Lonchura striata: one gene and its partner. The protein of the gene in region 1 interacts with the protein of each later gene in a pairwise test. Links are inferred from orthologs where the notes say so. Each region holds a gene or a part of one and is shown on either strand. Other genes may lie near its edges.

Evidence for each region.
Region 2: the proteins of TRIM32 (region 1) and PTCD2 interact in binary tests that used the Homo sapiens proteins (3 or more experiments, as listed by UniProt). The two-hybrid records come from large-scale screens. The link is inferred for Lonchura striata from reciprocal best matches to the Homo sapiens genes TRIM32 and PTCD2.

What each region holds. Positions count from the first base shown.
Region 1 is NC_134624.1:2,534,061-2,541,253, reverse strand, and holds the start of TRIM32 (E3 ubiquitin-protein ligase TRIM32), read left to right. Parts: upstream 1-4,192; 5' UTR 4,193-4,233; intron 4,234-7,129; 5' UTR 7,130-7,193. UniProt on the Homo sapiens protein: E3 ubiquitin ligase that plays a role in various biological processes including neural stem cell differentiation, innate immunity, inflammatory resonse and autophagy.
Region 2 is NC_134642.1:15,213,220-15,221,079, reverse strand, and holds the start of PTCD2 (pentatricopeptide repeat-containing protein 2, mitochondrial), read left to right. Parts: upstream 1-4,800; coding exon 4,801-4,906; intron 4,907-5,562; exon of another isoform or gene 5,563-6,186; intron 6,187-7,224; coding exon 7,225-7,317; intron 7,318-7,860. Other genes in the region: MRPS27 (small ribosomal subunit protein mS27), read right to left, coding at 2,900-2,977, 4,639-4,702. UniProt on the Homo sapiens protein: Involved in mitochondrial RNA maturation and mitochondrial respiratory chain function.

The sequences.
Region 1 (7,193 bases):
AGGGGAGTGAGTTTGGCACATCCATCCATGTGTGCAGGAAGGATGGGACAGGACAAAAGGGAATGTCTGGCAGAGAGCAGGGTTAGATGGGTTATCAGGAAGAAATTCTTTCCTGTGAGGGTGGGCAGGCCCTGGCACAGGGTGCCCAGAGAAGCTGTGGCTGCCCCTGGATCCCTGGCAGTGCCCAAAGCCAGGTTGGACAAGGCTTGGAGCAATCTGGGATAGTGGGAGGTGTCCCTGCCATGGCAGGGGGTGGAACGAGATGAGCTTTAAGGTCCCTCTCAACCCAAACCATTCTGAGATTCCAATTTTGGCTGACCCCAGCCAAACCACCAAACAACCGTCGACACCCCAGCCCCGGAGCTCAGCGTGGGCTGGGCACGGGATTACTCCCGAGGCGCCTTTAGGGACGCGCGGCAGGAGTCCCGGCTGGGAATGTCATTCCCGGAGCTCAACGTGCCGGGGGCTGCGGGATGGGAGCGCGGAGCTCGGGATGGGAGCGCGGAGCTCGGGATGTGGGCGCGGAGCTCGGGATGGGAGCGCGGAGCTCGGGATGGGAGCGCGGAGCTCGGGATGGGAGCGCGGAGCTCGGGATGGGAGCGCGGAGCTCGGGATGCGGGCGCGGAGCTCGGGATGCGGGCGCGGAGCTCGGGATGCGGGCGCGGAGCTCGGGATGGGAGCGCGGAGCTCGGGATGCGGGCGCGGAGCTCGGGATGCGGGCGCGGAGCTCGGGATGGGAGCGCGGAGCTCGGGATGCGGGGCCGCCGCCGGACCCTCCCGGCGGGTCCCGGCCCGGCGGGGCAGCGCGGCCGTGCCGGTCCGCGGGGCCCTGCTGCCCTCTCGTGGCACCGCGGCGGGACGGCGCGGGCATCATCCCGGCGTGGGGAACACATCCCGGGATGACGAACACATCCCGGCGTGGGGAACAGCATCCCGGCGTGGGGAACACATCCCAGTGTGGGGAACAGCATCCCGGCGTGGGGAACACATCCTGGCGTGGGAACACCATCCTGGGATGGGGAACAGCATCCCGGTGTGGGGACACAATCCCGGTGTGGGGAACACCATCCCAGCATGCACACCATCCTGGCCTGGGCACACCATCCCAGGATGTAGCACACCATCCCAGCTAGAGGCACACCATCCCAGCCTGGACACACCATCCTGGCATGCACACCACCCTGTTCTGGGCACACCATCCCAGGGTGCAGCACACCATCCCAGGCTTGGCACACCATCCCGGCGTGGGCACACCATCCCACACATCCCACCGCCCTCGCCCCGCAGCCCCTCCACACCATCCGTGGGGTCTCATCCTTCCATCCTCATCCCAGCCTCGGTGAGGGGAGTGTGGCACAGCCAATGTGTAACATCCCCTGGGTGTCGGTGCTTGATAAACTCCTGAGAGTGTGGCTCTGTGACCTCTTTTAATCTCCTATTTATAGAAAGTGAAGGGGCTGGAGTGGACCTTAAACATCATCCCGTTGCAATCCTGTGCCAGGGGAAGGGATGTGTCCCATTAAACCAGGTTGCTCCAAGCCCCATCCAACCTTGCTTTGAGCACATCCAGGGATGGAGCAACCACAAGCTCCCTGGGCAACCTCTGCCATTGCCTCACCATCCTCATAGCAATAAACTTCTCAATATCTAATCCACGTTACCCTGTTTCAGTGTGTACCCATAACTCCTCATCCTGTCACCACAGTCCCTGGTGAAGAGTACTTTTATGCCCACACTGCCTCTGCCCTTCACACCCCCTCTCCCTGATGACGCTGTGCCTTCTGCTCCCAACTGATTAACCAAACTCAATTAAACACAATCCTGACATCCAACACCAAGGTGTGAACAGAGAGTTGCACCCCCGTGCTTGTGACTGGTGGTGTGTGTGACCCCCAGGCTGCCACAGCCTCACTGCCCAGGGATGACCCCAAAGATATCCCCTTGAGAAGGCTGTCCAGAACAGGGAGTTAAAGAAGAAAGCAGGGATTTATTCAAAGCATCTCCTCCATGGATCCACCTTGGGCAGCACCAGAGCCCAGCCAGGGCTGCACCCAAATGACCCAAAATGGTCCCAAAATGCACGAGCGCTCCCGGGGCTCTCCCTGGGATCAGTTCTGCTCCATTGGCACCTTGGAGTTCATTGTCCCATTCCAGCTTCAGCCCAGGCAGTCCCACCCTGCTTGTTTTTCTCTCTGCAGCCCACGGTGTTTGTGCTCCTGGGCTGAGGTTTGGATCATTTGTCCTTGGTGTCCAGCTGGAAAAGGAATTGTTTTGTCTCCCTGCTCTGTGCACAGAGCTCAGCATCCCCTCATATGAAGCTCAGAACTGCACTAAAGCAGAATCTGAAAAACAGAACAGCTAAAACCTGAGGCATCACCAGCAAAGAGAATCTGGGGGCAGATCATCTCTTGTGCCTGCAGGATCTCACCTCAGCTTCAGATGAGACATTTGCACACTTGCAAGCCTGAGGTATTAAGAAAAAAGAGCTCTTAGAGACCTCTGATAACCCTCTATAGAAGGGGATTTTGAGAGTATCCCCTATAACATAGCTTTGGCAAAGGAACTTCGGCAGGGTGACCAGGGTCCTGGGCTGGACAACCTTCCCATCCTTCCTTGTCATGTAGGGTCCCCATACTCACACATGATGGATAACATCGTCAGCTGGTCATTGTCACCTCTAATTAAATCCAGAGAGTCCTTTGTTTACTCCCCAGGATGCATTGAAAGATTATTTCCTATTTCTACCATTGTTTTTTCCTCACACTGTTCATTTTCAGGTGTGGGTGGCCTCACAAGTTCTGCCAGACCACCCTGGTTTCAGTGTTTACATCCATTCTACATCAGGGACTGAAAAAAGCATTTCCCTGGTGAGGGCAGGAACTGGGAGTGAACCCTGTGTCCCCTCCCTGGGCACAGCAACACACCCAGGGAGCCACTGGGGTTTGAAACAGGGCACTGAGGAAATCTCACTCGTTTTCTTTGCTTTGCATCTGCGTGCATCCACTGCCCACACTGCTGCTCCCTGCTGCTCCAGGGACATAGATCCCATCTGAATGATCTGTTGTTTTCTAAACAAAGTGGAAAAACCACCAAGAGCAGAAGGTGGCCAGACTTGCTGCATGATGCAGGCACTTTCTTCAGCGCAGGTCGGGCGGCTGCAGCAGGTGAGCAGTGGAAAAGCGCCGCAGGCAGAGAGGCCACGCGGAGGGAATTTGGGAAATGGTTAAACTGAGCACTCGCCTCTTCCCCAGGCAGAGAATTCCTGCCAGCCTGACCTCCAGGGGATGCTGCCTGTGGCACTGGGGGTGTGAAGGACACTGTTCCCCCCCGGCACAGGGAGCCCCGAGCCCTGGCACTCCTCAGTTCGCTCTGCAGCCCCACAGGGGCACAGCAGAAGGGGCTCTCTGCCACCCCTAAACAGATCCATGACATCCAAGCAAAAATGGGGTTAGAACGGGGTCGGTGCTCCTGATGGTGATACTGGCTCCGGGAAACACGGGGCAGAGCCCAGCCATAGGCCAGTGGCCAAATCCCTGACTCTGGCCACCACTGCCAGCCTCTCACGCTGCAGCTGTGCCCAAAAATAGTGATTTTGGTCCTGGAGTCCACAGGCTGATCACAGGTACGGCATCAAAGGAGAAGCACACGTTTTCAGGAGGTGATGCAAAACCTGTCAAACACTCAGGAACCTGCTGGGGGAAGGGAAAGGGAGAGGAAAAGGGAAAAGGGGAGGGGGAAATGGGAGGGAAAGGAAGAGAAGGGAATTCAAGGCAAGCAAGGCAAGGGAAATGAAAAAGGGAAAGGAGAAGAGTAGCGAAAGGAGAAAGGAAGGGAAAGGGGAAAGGGAAGGTGAAAGAGAAGGGGAAGGGGCTGATCCCACAGCATCAGTGCGTGATCAGGGAAAGGGCAGTGAGCAACCCACGCGTGCCAAAATGACACATAACAACGAATTTAAAAAAAAAATAAAAACGAAAACACACACAAAAAAAAAAAAAAAAAAAAAAAAAAAAAAAAAAAAAAAAAACCAAATCCGAAAAGACGTTCCTGCTTTCCCCTCGTTACTTTTAACGTTTCCTTTCACACCGAGCCGCAGCACGGGCCCGGCAGACCGAGGTCCTGCCCTCAGCCACAGCCCCCGCGGGACTACATCTCCCGGCAGGCCCCGCGGGCGCGCCCACGTGAGGCGCGGCGCGCGGCGCACGCCGGGAGCGGCGCGGCCCGGAGCGGCGGCAGGTGAGGAGCGCGCGCGGGGCGGCGGCGGCGGCGCCCCCTGCAGGGCGGGGCGGGCACGGCGGGACCCCCGGGCGGGCGGCGTGAGGGGACGGGCGGGACAAGATGGGATGGGGTGGGATGGGAACGGCATGGAGGGGATGGAAAGGGCCACGGGGCCGCGCCCGCCCCGCTGCCGTGGACCCCACGGCCATGGCGGAGCTGGGCGTGGGCTCTGTGGGCACACCGGGGCAGGCAGCGGCCCCTGACGTGCCCGGGCCGGAGCAGCCTGGCTGGCGGGACGCGTTCCCCGCCCATGGCAGGGCTGCAGCCAGGGCATCGTAAAGGTCCTTCCAACCAACCCTTGCATTTCTCACTGAACCCCAACAAACCCTTGGATTTCTCACTGAAACCCCGCAAACCCTTGCCTTTCTCAGTTAAACCCCCCCAAATCCTTGCATTTCTCACTGAACCCCCCTCAAATCCTTGGATTTCTTACTGAAACCCCCCTCAAACCCTTGCATTTCTCACTGAAAACCCCCCCAAACCCTTGCATTTCTCACTGAAACCCCGCAAACCCTTGCATTTCTCACTGAACCCCCCCAAACCCTTGGATTTCTCACTGAAACCCCACAAACCCTTGCATTTCTCACTGAAACCCTGCAAACCCTTGCATTTCTCAGTTAAACCCCCCCAAATCCTTGCATTTCTCACTGAAACCCCCACCCCCAAACCCAGGGTCTGGCCTGTTTGTTTTGTTGTTGTGATAACTCCTTTTGCAGCATTACCCCACTATTTTCCCTCATTAATGACACCAGCTCTGAATCACAAGTGAAGCCGGTGTTCTCACCGCAGACACACCGGCTAACAGAAACCACGGCAGGAAATTTCTTTCGAATGTAAGGAAGCCGAACTCGCATAATTCACGGTTTTATGGGCTTGATCCTCAGCTGAGGCTTTCTGTAACACCCTGCTCTGCGTCAGAGGAGCTGCCCCGGGAGGGACCGACACGCAAGAACAACTCGCTGTTAAGGAAACTTCCATGGAGGCACAGTCGAGTGTGAGAGGGAGATAAAAGGAAAAATAATGTCCCGTTACTGAGGGCACGCTGACATTCTGATAAAGGGGGTTATACATGAAAAGAATGTCATAAAAAACAGCTCTCTAAAAGCCCAACCTGACTTAGAATCCATCTACATTCTTCTTAAATGAAAATACTTGTTTTAAAGGTAGCTTTTAATATAACTCTTAGTACTTGGTGCCTCTGCTACTCCCTCGTCCTTCCCTAAGCAAGTCTTTTGACGTGTTTCCAAGGAAAGTAAGAATAATGAACCTGGTATCCTGTGTTCATTTTTTAAAATAATTTTAAATCACAGATTTTTCCTGCCTCGGAGGAAGGTTTCTGTTCTCCATGGCAGTGCCCAGGTTTCTGCTTCCCTGGGGCCAGGGCCGTGCTACTCAACTTGCCACTGTCGAGCTGAGCCCAGCATGGTGCCTGGAGATTCTGCCACACCACTGAATCCCTTCCTGAAATACAGCCTTTAAAGGATTCTGAACTGCAGCTGACAAATTAAAATTAGGGGGCTTTCTTTCTTTTCTGTATGAGCATAAAGATCTTTTCTTCATTGCAGTTGTTTTCCGGCAGAGGAGCACACAGCAAACTGAAATACACAGAATTTTTCCCAAAGAGAAAGGCAGCAGAGCCAGCAGGGAAGTGAGAATGCTGTGTCCATGCAGCCATTTCTCAGAGCTGTGTGTTCACATCTCTCTGCCACTGTGTCTTCATTTCAAAGACTTAACTACTTCCTTCTCCTCCTCCTCTTCCCTAGAAGAAAGGTTTTCTTCCCTATTTTTTAGTGGCTAAGCAGTACAATAACAAAGGATTTGAAACCCAGTCTAGTGAATAATAACTTAATGATGTGAGCCCTGTTCTGTTCCTTTTGAATGGATGGCTGCTTTGGCAGGAGAGCTGCTGGGATCTGCTCCCTGCTGGGAGGGATGTGAGGGTGGAGAAACCTGGATTGAAGCTGAACAGCAACCAGAGTGGTGTAAAACTGAACCAGGGGACAAGAACGAGGTCAGCGTTGCGAGATTGTGAAACGAGGAGAAATTAAACGCAGTTAAGCTGAGTTCAGGAGCTAATAGTGAACACTGGGAGTATGTTTGGAGTTCAGATGTTTGGAGTTGTCTGTTAACTCCATTGTTGCTAATACCTGCCTGAGCTGTGTTTAATTGCCATGAAGCATGGTGCAGCATGGCAGAGGTTACTGAGATGCACTGCCATCAAACCTTCTCTGTGTGTTTTCAGCGTGCACAGTCACTCCCAGAACTAGTGGAAGTTGACAGAGCATTCCTGCTACTTTCACTTCCTGGCAAATGTATGAAATCTCGAAAATGTGTTTTGGCTCTCTAGCAAAGCAGGGTGAACTGAGCACATTTATTTTGTTGGTATCTGATGTCACATCTGAATTCAGGTCTCCAGAGGTGATCTATTAATGTCCTAAAGCATCGCACCATCTGGTTCCTCCTTTGATGTGCAACATTTTGAATGCCTGGTTTAATCTCCCTGGGTTTCAGTAAATTATGTAAACTCGGAGGCTTGGCAGCAGGAGATGGGCGCCATGAGGAGATGATTCAGTCATCAATATCTACTGGGCTTCCATATTGGTGCCATTACACTTCTTTCAGTGCTACTTTACAAATTTTGCAAGTGAATAATTCATCGCACTGGGAGCTGCAAGTTAGTTTTGAAGTTTGCCCACCCTGAGATTAGCTATGACTAATCCATCCTTCCCAACGTGGAAAAGCTAACTGGGTTTCTTTTTCTGCAGGGTTAGGCGATAAGTCAGAAATAAATTGCATGTATACATAACTGCTGGTGGTGACATAAATCACATTTCCCTTTTTTCTTCCTGGACAGAATCGGAGCACCTTGGAATAGATGTGAGCACAAGGCACTGTGCTGGATAAAGCTGCCTTGGAGC
Region 2 (7,860 bases), on another chromosome or scaffold:
TTTTGTCTGACTCATCAAAAAACACACTAGTCTATAAAATCTCTCATATATGCTGCCTAAAAATATATTTCTACATAAATACATTTCTCCATAAATTCAATTTCTCTAAAAATGTATTACTGCATATTCAAGAACTAATGAAATTAACAAAACAAGCCATAAGTATAAGCTTAAGTAATTTAATTTCAGGCCATGACCTTCACAGAGGTCTTATATACACTGATATACATTATCGTGTATTCTCATGTTCACTTTTATTTTCATTTCTTCATAGAAACTCAGTATCTTGTTGCCTGCAACAGGGTGGCTCAGAAAATACTGATCCTCACCTTCCAAATCAGTGGCTATAACTTCTAATACCAGTTTGGTGGCCTAGGAAATCAACATAGTTTCAGTTTGATTCACAGTGTGTACCTGTCCACAGAATGTAGCCACACCAACAAGCAGCACATTATCAATATGGGGCACATTTGGCCACCATATAAGGTCACTTTTATTCTACTAACACCCTTGTATTCTTAGAAATGGTTCACTCAAGACAGAAGTCTGATCCAGTGGTGGGAAATGATGACAAAACTGATACCTGTCCTGAGAGTGATGGGCAGAGCTAATACCTTAATTCACAGGCTAACTGGTGCTATAAAGAAAGGCGTGTTTTAATTTTTTTTTTTTTTTAACTAAAATATAAAGGCCGAGACAAGTATTTTACCTTACAAATTTATATGTTCCACATTTAACTCTGTATCCACATAGCTGGAAAGAACAGCAACTTTTTACTTTACAAGGCTTTGAATGGAAATTATTTATGTTTGTAAGGGCAGCACTGCCACCTGGTGTTGCAGATGAGCCAATTTAGGCACTGTGAATCTTTGTAACAAAAAAAAAAAAGAAATTTCCTATATCACCTGGATTCTGCCATCCCCTGGGATTCTGGGTGCCTTTTTACATAATTTTTAATAAATGGAATCCATATTACTTCTAGGCAGGCATCTTCGTACCAACAAGTAAATTGCAGATTCCAAGTTAGGAATTGAAAATGTGTTATCTCCTTTACTAAAGGCATTTTGGTACAAAAATACAGTCATGCTTTTTCCCATACATTTTTCAGTAGTGAAGTTTGCTAAACTCATTCGTATCTGGATTCTAAACTGAGGTTACAGTGAAGACAATAAATCATATCTTACATGGACACAGTAAACGAGTATCTGGGATAGTACATCACTGCAGCAGAGAAATGGAACTGACTTTAAATCAAAATATACTTATTTTGCCTTTAAAAGTATCCTCACAACATAGTTTTGCATAACAACAGTTCTATACTTATTTTGCCTTTAAAAGTATCCTCACAACATAGTTTTGCATAACAACAGTTCTAAAACAGTGTCTGTTCTGAAACACAGAAATAAAAGAGCATTTCCTCAACACAAGGAACTCACTCAGCTATAATCACCAGCCAGTACATACAAGTTTATATGTGCAACCAGACAACTGAGAGCTACAGAGCAGACGTCTGCAGGACTGTCTCCTCTCTGAAAATGCTAATACAGCTGACACCGTGCTAACTTGTTTTCTCTTTTCTGTGAACACAAAATAAAAATGCAAAGCAGTTATTTGAAAATCATGGAATAGACATCTGCTCTGGCTCAAGACCATCAGCAGAGGAGTAGCAAGAACTGTGCCTGCCAAACAGTCACAGAAGGTCCTGCCAGGCCTGGAGAAAGCCAAACAGGGACTGTACCAGCACAGGCACAACAGTGGTTTTTCTACAGTAGATTTCTACTGGCTATGACAATTGCCAAATTAAGAACGCATTTTCACCTAGAGATGACTAGTTCAAATGTATCCCAGGGCATAAATCTGTGGCTCCAGCCCAAAAGACACAGCATGAGCAGTCCTATTGATAGCAAAGTGTTACAAGGTATTAACAGTCTCTGCAGGATCCAAGCTACATACATAAAGATCCACCAGTTTCTCACCCGTGTACAGTACACATTGACAATTCCCACCTAAATGTTCATTGGCAAATAAAAAAAATAAATTAGTGCATAAAAAACATCAGTCTGATCATTCTGTCTGTCCTGCCTGACAAAAGCCCTTGAATTTCACCTGATGATTCTTTTTTCAGCCCCATAATCTGTTTTGCAAGTAACAACCACAGTTCAGGGGCCTAGTAATGAAAACAGACCATGAATAAAGGAGTCCCCAAAACACCTGTGGTGCAAAATTTTAAAAAAAAATCCATCTTTAGCACAGAAAAATGCTTTGCCCTTAACACCAAAAAGGCAGTGGAATTTAATTTCAAATGCAATCTATTTAAATAATTTAGCTATAAAATTTGCACAGGAGATCTCAGCACCATGTAAAGATACACTTTAACATGTAACCTCTTGAAAATAAAAAGTTTAGCTTCATTCCCTACTCCCTCCTAAAAAAACCTCTATAATTCAAGAAGAAACTGTAAAACCCTGAGGAAAATTTCCTCTTTAAACAAATGTTTTTAAATTTAATTGTCCTGTAATACTCAGATCATTTTTGATTGTCCTATAATACTTAGATCATTACCAGAATACCTTTTTTTCACACTGCAATACCGTTAAAACAATGTCAATGACATCAGTCAGAGATAGTCATACACTTTGAATTCCGTGAAAGAAAAAAAATCAGCTCATATAAACTAAACCTTAAGTAAGCAGGGGAATTCTAATTTGTTTCTGCACCATGGCCTTGAATACATATGGCAAATTTTTAACATGTTGAGTGCTTTTTGACACAGAAGCTCAGAAACATTGTTTCACACCATTTTTTATTTTGAAGGATTTACAAATAATAAGGTAGCCCAAAATGAGCTCAGGTTGTAATTAATTAGACAAAGTGGAGACAAGAAACAAACTTTTCTCACCAGGATTATGCTCCTCTTTTTTTCTTTTTTCCCATTTTGAGCTGTCCACATAGGCTGAAGAAAGAAGAGATCTTCGACCTAATGAGCAGAGAAATCACTATGTAAGCTGGGTTGCTTACACAACTCTAAACAAACATTTTATTAGGTACCACCTTCTTCTGTCATATTTGCCAAGTGGAATGCATTAAACTGTCTTTATGCCACAACTATTAATGTAACAATTCAGATTCTTTGTATGTGGATCAACTATTATGTTGTAATATTTAAAACTGAAAAGCTTTCCCCAAAAGCTTTTTTTCAGCATGAAACATGTATTTCCAAACCTAAACTTTGTATTTAAGAAAATAACAGATTTGTAAAGGTAGAAAAAACCTCAACAATAAAAGCAACTTCTTTGTGCACACAAACCTTCTTCATCAAATGTTAGCAATTAGCTAAATGTAGGTTAAAAACATAAGCAAAAATAAAAACCACACAAACATGCTTTTCTGTTGTTGCTGAATGGTTATTTCCACCTATAAAGGCATGTCTCACTGAAAATACTTTCATTTTTATAATCGCCACTCTTCCATATCCTATGAACTACAGACTCACTGAAATATATTTGTAAGCTTTTTCCAAACATTCTTTGTACCACTGCTCAAGATGCTGTGCTAGCTTTTGAAACAAAACAGAAAATGCTTCAGCTGGAAGAATTTGTGTATCAGTCATAGATGATGAGGTCTTGAAAATGCATGAGGAACACCTGGATAAAACTCACTGAAGGAAGATAGAGAAATACATGCAGAAAAATCACAGGAAATAATGTCATGAAATAAGAATATTTTAAAAAGAGATGCTACAATGCTATATAGAAGTCTTAGCAACTACTTCAAAGCCTGTACCGAAATACCTATCTGCTAGCACTAAAAGTTTCCCTTGTGAAACAATTCTTCCTTCTTATCACCCTTCTGACACACAATATACCCACACATCCTGCACTGAACATCTCATGAAACTATCAAAGGAAGATTCAGAACACAGACTTCCAGACTTCAAAAATATGTATAACACTATACCAAACAGAATAATAATAATAATTAAAAAAAAAAAAGTATTTCTGGTTTGTGGCACTTCCTTTAGCAGTCTTTTTAATTACGTTGATAGAAGAGACATATAAAAAAATCGGGGGGGTTGGTGTGGCGGGCTTTGGGTTTTTTATTGTCTATTTTTCCCTTCACAGACAAAAAGGCATTCATTCACTGACAGCTAAGGAGGCCGCTAGCCATCACGAGGCGTTCCGGGCAGTTCCGAGGCGCAGGCCGCGGTGCCGCTGAACACGAGCCCGGCGAGCGCGCACCGCCCGCAGCCCGCCGGGCCAGCTCTGCCCGGCGGCCCGGTCTTCGCTTTCCCGAAACATCGGCTCGGCGGCCTCTGTCACCGCCGGTACCAGTTTTCCTAAGCGCGCACCGCCGCGGGTCTGGCGGCCTCCCGCGCCATCCCGCGTGGCTTGCCCTAACCCAGAAAGGCAGCTCGAGCTATGAAATCCATTGCCTATTAAAAAAACGAACTGCGAACGGCCTCCCCCTCTACATACTAGCCATTAAACCTCTTCTGAGCTACCCCCAACTCCACACATGCACATAGCAGGAGACGAGGAGGGAAAGGTGAGTCAAGTCCCTACGCAACAGCCCGTCCTTGCTCATGCGGCGACCAGCGCGGCCGCGCCGCGCCCCCCGCCCCGCCAGCAGCGCACCGACCTGGGGCCGCGCCGAGGGCGCTCCCGCTGCAGAGCACGGCGCGCCGGAGCCCGGGGGCGGCCATGGCGCCGAGGCCGGAGGAGGCGGGCGGCGGAGCGGGGCCGGCGGCGGGCGGCGGAGCGGGGCCGGCTGCGGGCGCCCCGCCCCTCGGCCCGGCCGGCGATGGCGGCGGTGCTGGCGGGCGGCTCCGGGCGGGCGGCGCGGCAGGCGGCGCGGCGCTCGGCGGTCCGGCCGCCCGCCGCGGGCGGCTGGGGCTGCGCTCCCGGAGGTACCGCGGCTTGTGCGGCGGGGGTGGGCGGCGGGATGCGCGGCCGGGGCGCGGGGCTAGCGGGGTACTGCAGCTCCGGGCAGGCCCGCCCGCGCTGCCGGCTCTGTGCCCGACGGGAGCTGTAGTTCTGCGCGGATGCCCCGCTCGGCGCGGCGTGCTGTGGCGGATTGTGCTGCGGTGGACAGGCCGAGCTGGCGGCAGGGGTGCCCTCCGGGGAGGGACATCACAGAATCGGTGCAGCAGTCACGTAATGGCCTGGGTTGGAAGGGACCTTAAATATCATCCACTGCGTGCCATGGGGACACCTTCCGCTAGACCCCGTTGCTGAGAGCCCCATCCGGCCTGGCCCCGAGCGTGTCCAGGAATGCTAGATCCACAGCTTCTCGAAGCACCTTATTCCACTGTCTTCCACCCTCCCAGTAAAGAATTCCTTCTTCATATGCTACCTAAACCTATTCTCTAATCAAAGCCTTTCTAGTCGAAGGCTTTTCCCACGTGTCCTAGCACTGCACGCCCTTGTGCCCGTTCCACTCCAGCTGTTGCAGGCCCCACTGAAAGGCTGCCCTAGGGTCACCCAAGAGATCAGTGTTAATCAGCATATCCCCTGCTTGCTACTCTCAGGATATGACATTAAAAAAAAAAAAAAAAAAAGAACATAAATGTCTATTTATTCTGGGAGGACGACAGCCTTATCCAGACCTGGGTTTCAGAGATAAGGAAGAAGGGACACATGGAAAAGAGGTGCATGGCAGAGGGCTCCCCAGCCTGGGCCCTGGCTGGGCTCTTTGTCCTGCTGTGCCAGCAGTGCTCAGGTTACACCTCTGTTATATCCCTCAGAGACATGGAGACCACTTTCTCTGAGTGGTGTTCTGCCCATCCCCTTCAGGGACTGCCATTTAGAGGGTTGCAGTGTGCCTGACCCTAAGCAGCTTGGTCAAGTTCTCTGGAATAGTTTGCACCACCTGCATATGCTAGCTCTCATACTCATCTCCCTCCTTTTCCTTGGCAGACCCTATGGTTTTGAAACATTTCTGTAACACTCTAAGGTATGAGTCTAAGGAAGCAGTACAATTCAGAAAATTGAATTCAAGAAAGATAAAATTATGCTGCCCTAATCTCTGTATTGACACTGACCACTGAGAGTCCATGATGTGTGGTGCACCAGTCCCACCCCAAGCACAAGCAAAATTTCTGCACCAGCTTTGAAGAGGCCCTTTACAATGGTCTTTCAGTGGTAGACCAACAGAGATCTGTGGAAAGGAAATGGCAGTGTAATACAGGTCAGTTTCATGCTGAATAAAATGTATTTGTTTGTCCCTTGGAACTGTTTCAATTAAATTTAATGGATAAATGTGCCATTTAATGGATTTTTTTTTCAGATTTTATGAAGCGTGTCGTTATCATGCTTCACTTGCTTAGAAAACAAGTGTTTTTATTTATATGGCCAGTTACGTTTTCCAAGGGATATGCAGAATGAGAATAAACAACCTTACTCAGTTCAGTACTTACTCTTAAGCTTTCATGGTTAGAATAATTCCTTATAAGCCAAAACCTTAAAATATTAGATTGTAAGCTGTTATTGTGACTCTCTGTTACAAAGTCAGTAGTTGCAAATAAAAATCATCTGGACACCTGTTTTTGTGACAGCAAAAAGTTGTCAAATAGCTTTTGCATGATGCTTGTTTTAAAGCAGCTTGCAACACAGTACAGTTGAAGTCAGCACCCAAAGTTAATTTTGACATTCTAGACTCAGTGACTGTCTTACCTCTGATGTCTGTACTGCAGCAGAACATTACTAGGTCTCCAGAGTGTTGCAATCCAAATAATACACTTGTTTGTTTTATAGATTAAAAAAACAAGCTTCTTGTGACTTTCTGCTGCATTTAGAACTTCCAGAATGTTTCATTTTATAGTAGCAAGAGCAGCACCTGTGGGATAAGCAAGTTGTGCCATTAGTGAATTGTGGAATACAAAGGAAAAGAAGACAAATCCTTATGAAAGTGTAAAGGAGGGAGCAGGAATTTTTTGCGGAATCTTCTTGTACTTTGGCTTGGTGTAGAGGAATGTGGTCTCTAGTTTTTCTTTTGCACATCCAAGAACTAGATCCTTCATCCTTGTACACATAAGCTCTGGAAAGCTGTGACATATTATTTGGGTTCTTTTGTCAGTGATGTGAGTAACTGCAGGTTTTGTATAGTGTTCTATCCCAATGGTCTGGCATTGCACAGTTGTCTGTAATTCATACATGCTAGGTTCTGTACTAATAAATCAAACAATGTAACATAAAACTCTACCTTCCTCTTTTTTTCTTATGGCAGGGAAGCGGTATCTGCTAACAGAAGAAGATATAAAGTTACAAGAATTTCAGCAGATGAAAGTGGCAATTAGAAATGAGCTTCATGGCAATAAAGGTATACCCTTTATTTCATAATTACCACTTTAGCATGAGTCTTAGGAAACAAATAGTCAAAGTTGTAACAATATGACACCAATTGACCTCACTTAAAGAAACAGATTATGTCTTCCTCTTGCAAATATTTTGTACTTAACATTATTGGAAGATGCGAGGCTTTGTAGAATGAAACGTAGTATTAGTTATGCTGTGTTGAGAATGCATGTTGAGAAGCTTTCATGTATGTGAGGTGTTTACACAAGACCTGAAATGTTTGTACGCTCACTTTTCCAACTTTATTAGCTAGTCTAATAAAAAAAAAAAAGCATTTCAGTCTACAAAGCTTGCTTCTCATATGACACAGAAAGTTAACACAGAGCTAAATAGTTACCTTACTATCCATAAAAGGGCTCTCACTGTAATTTTTTTAATTCTGCTCCCTAAATTTTGTTAGCATATTTTTAAATTTTTTTTGTCTAATGTGCATTTTCACTTGTACATCTGATTCCAAATGATATATGCTACTCAGAATATGGAAAACAAATTCATGTTTTCCAAATGA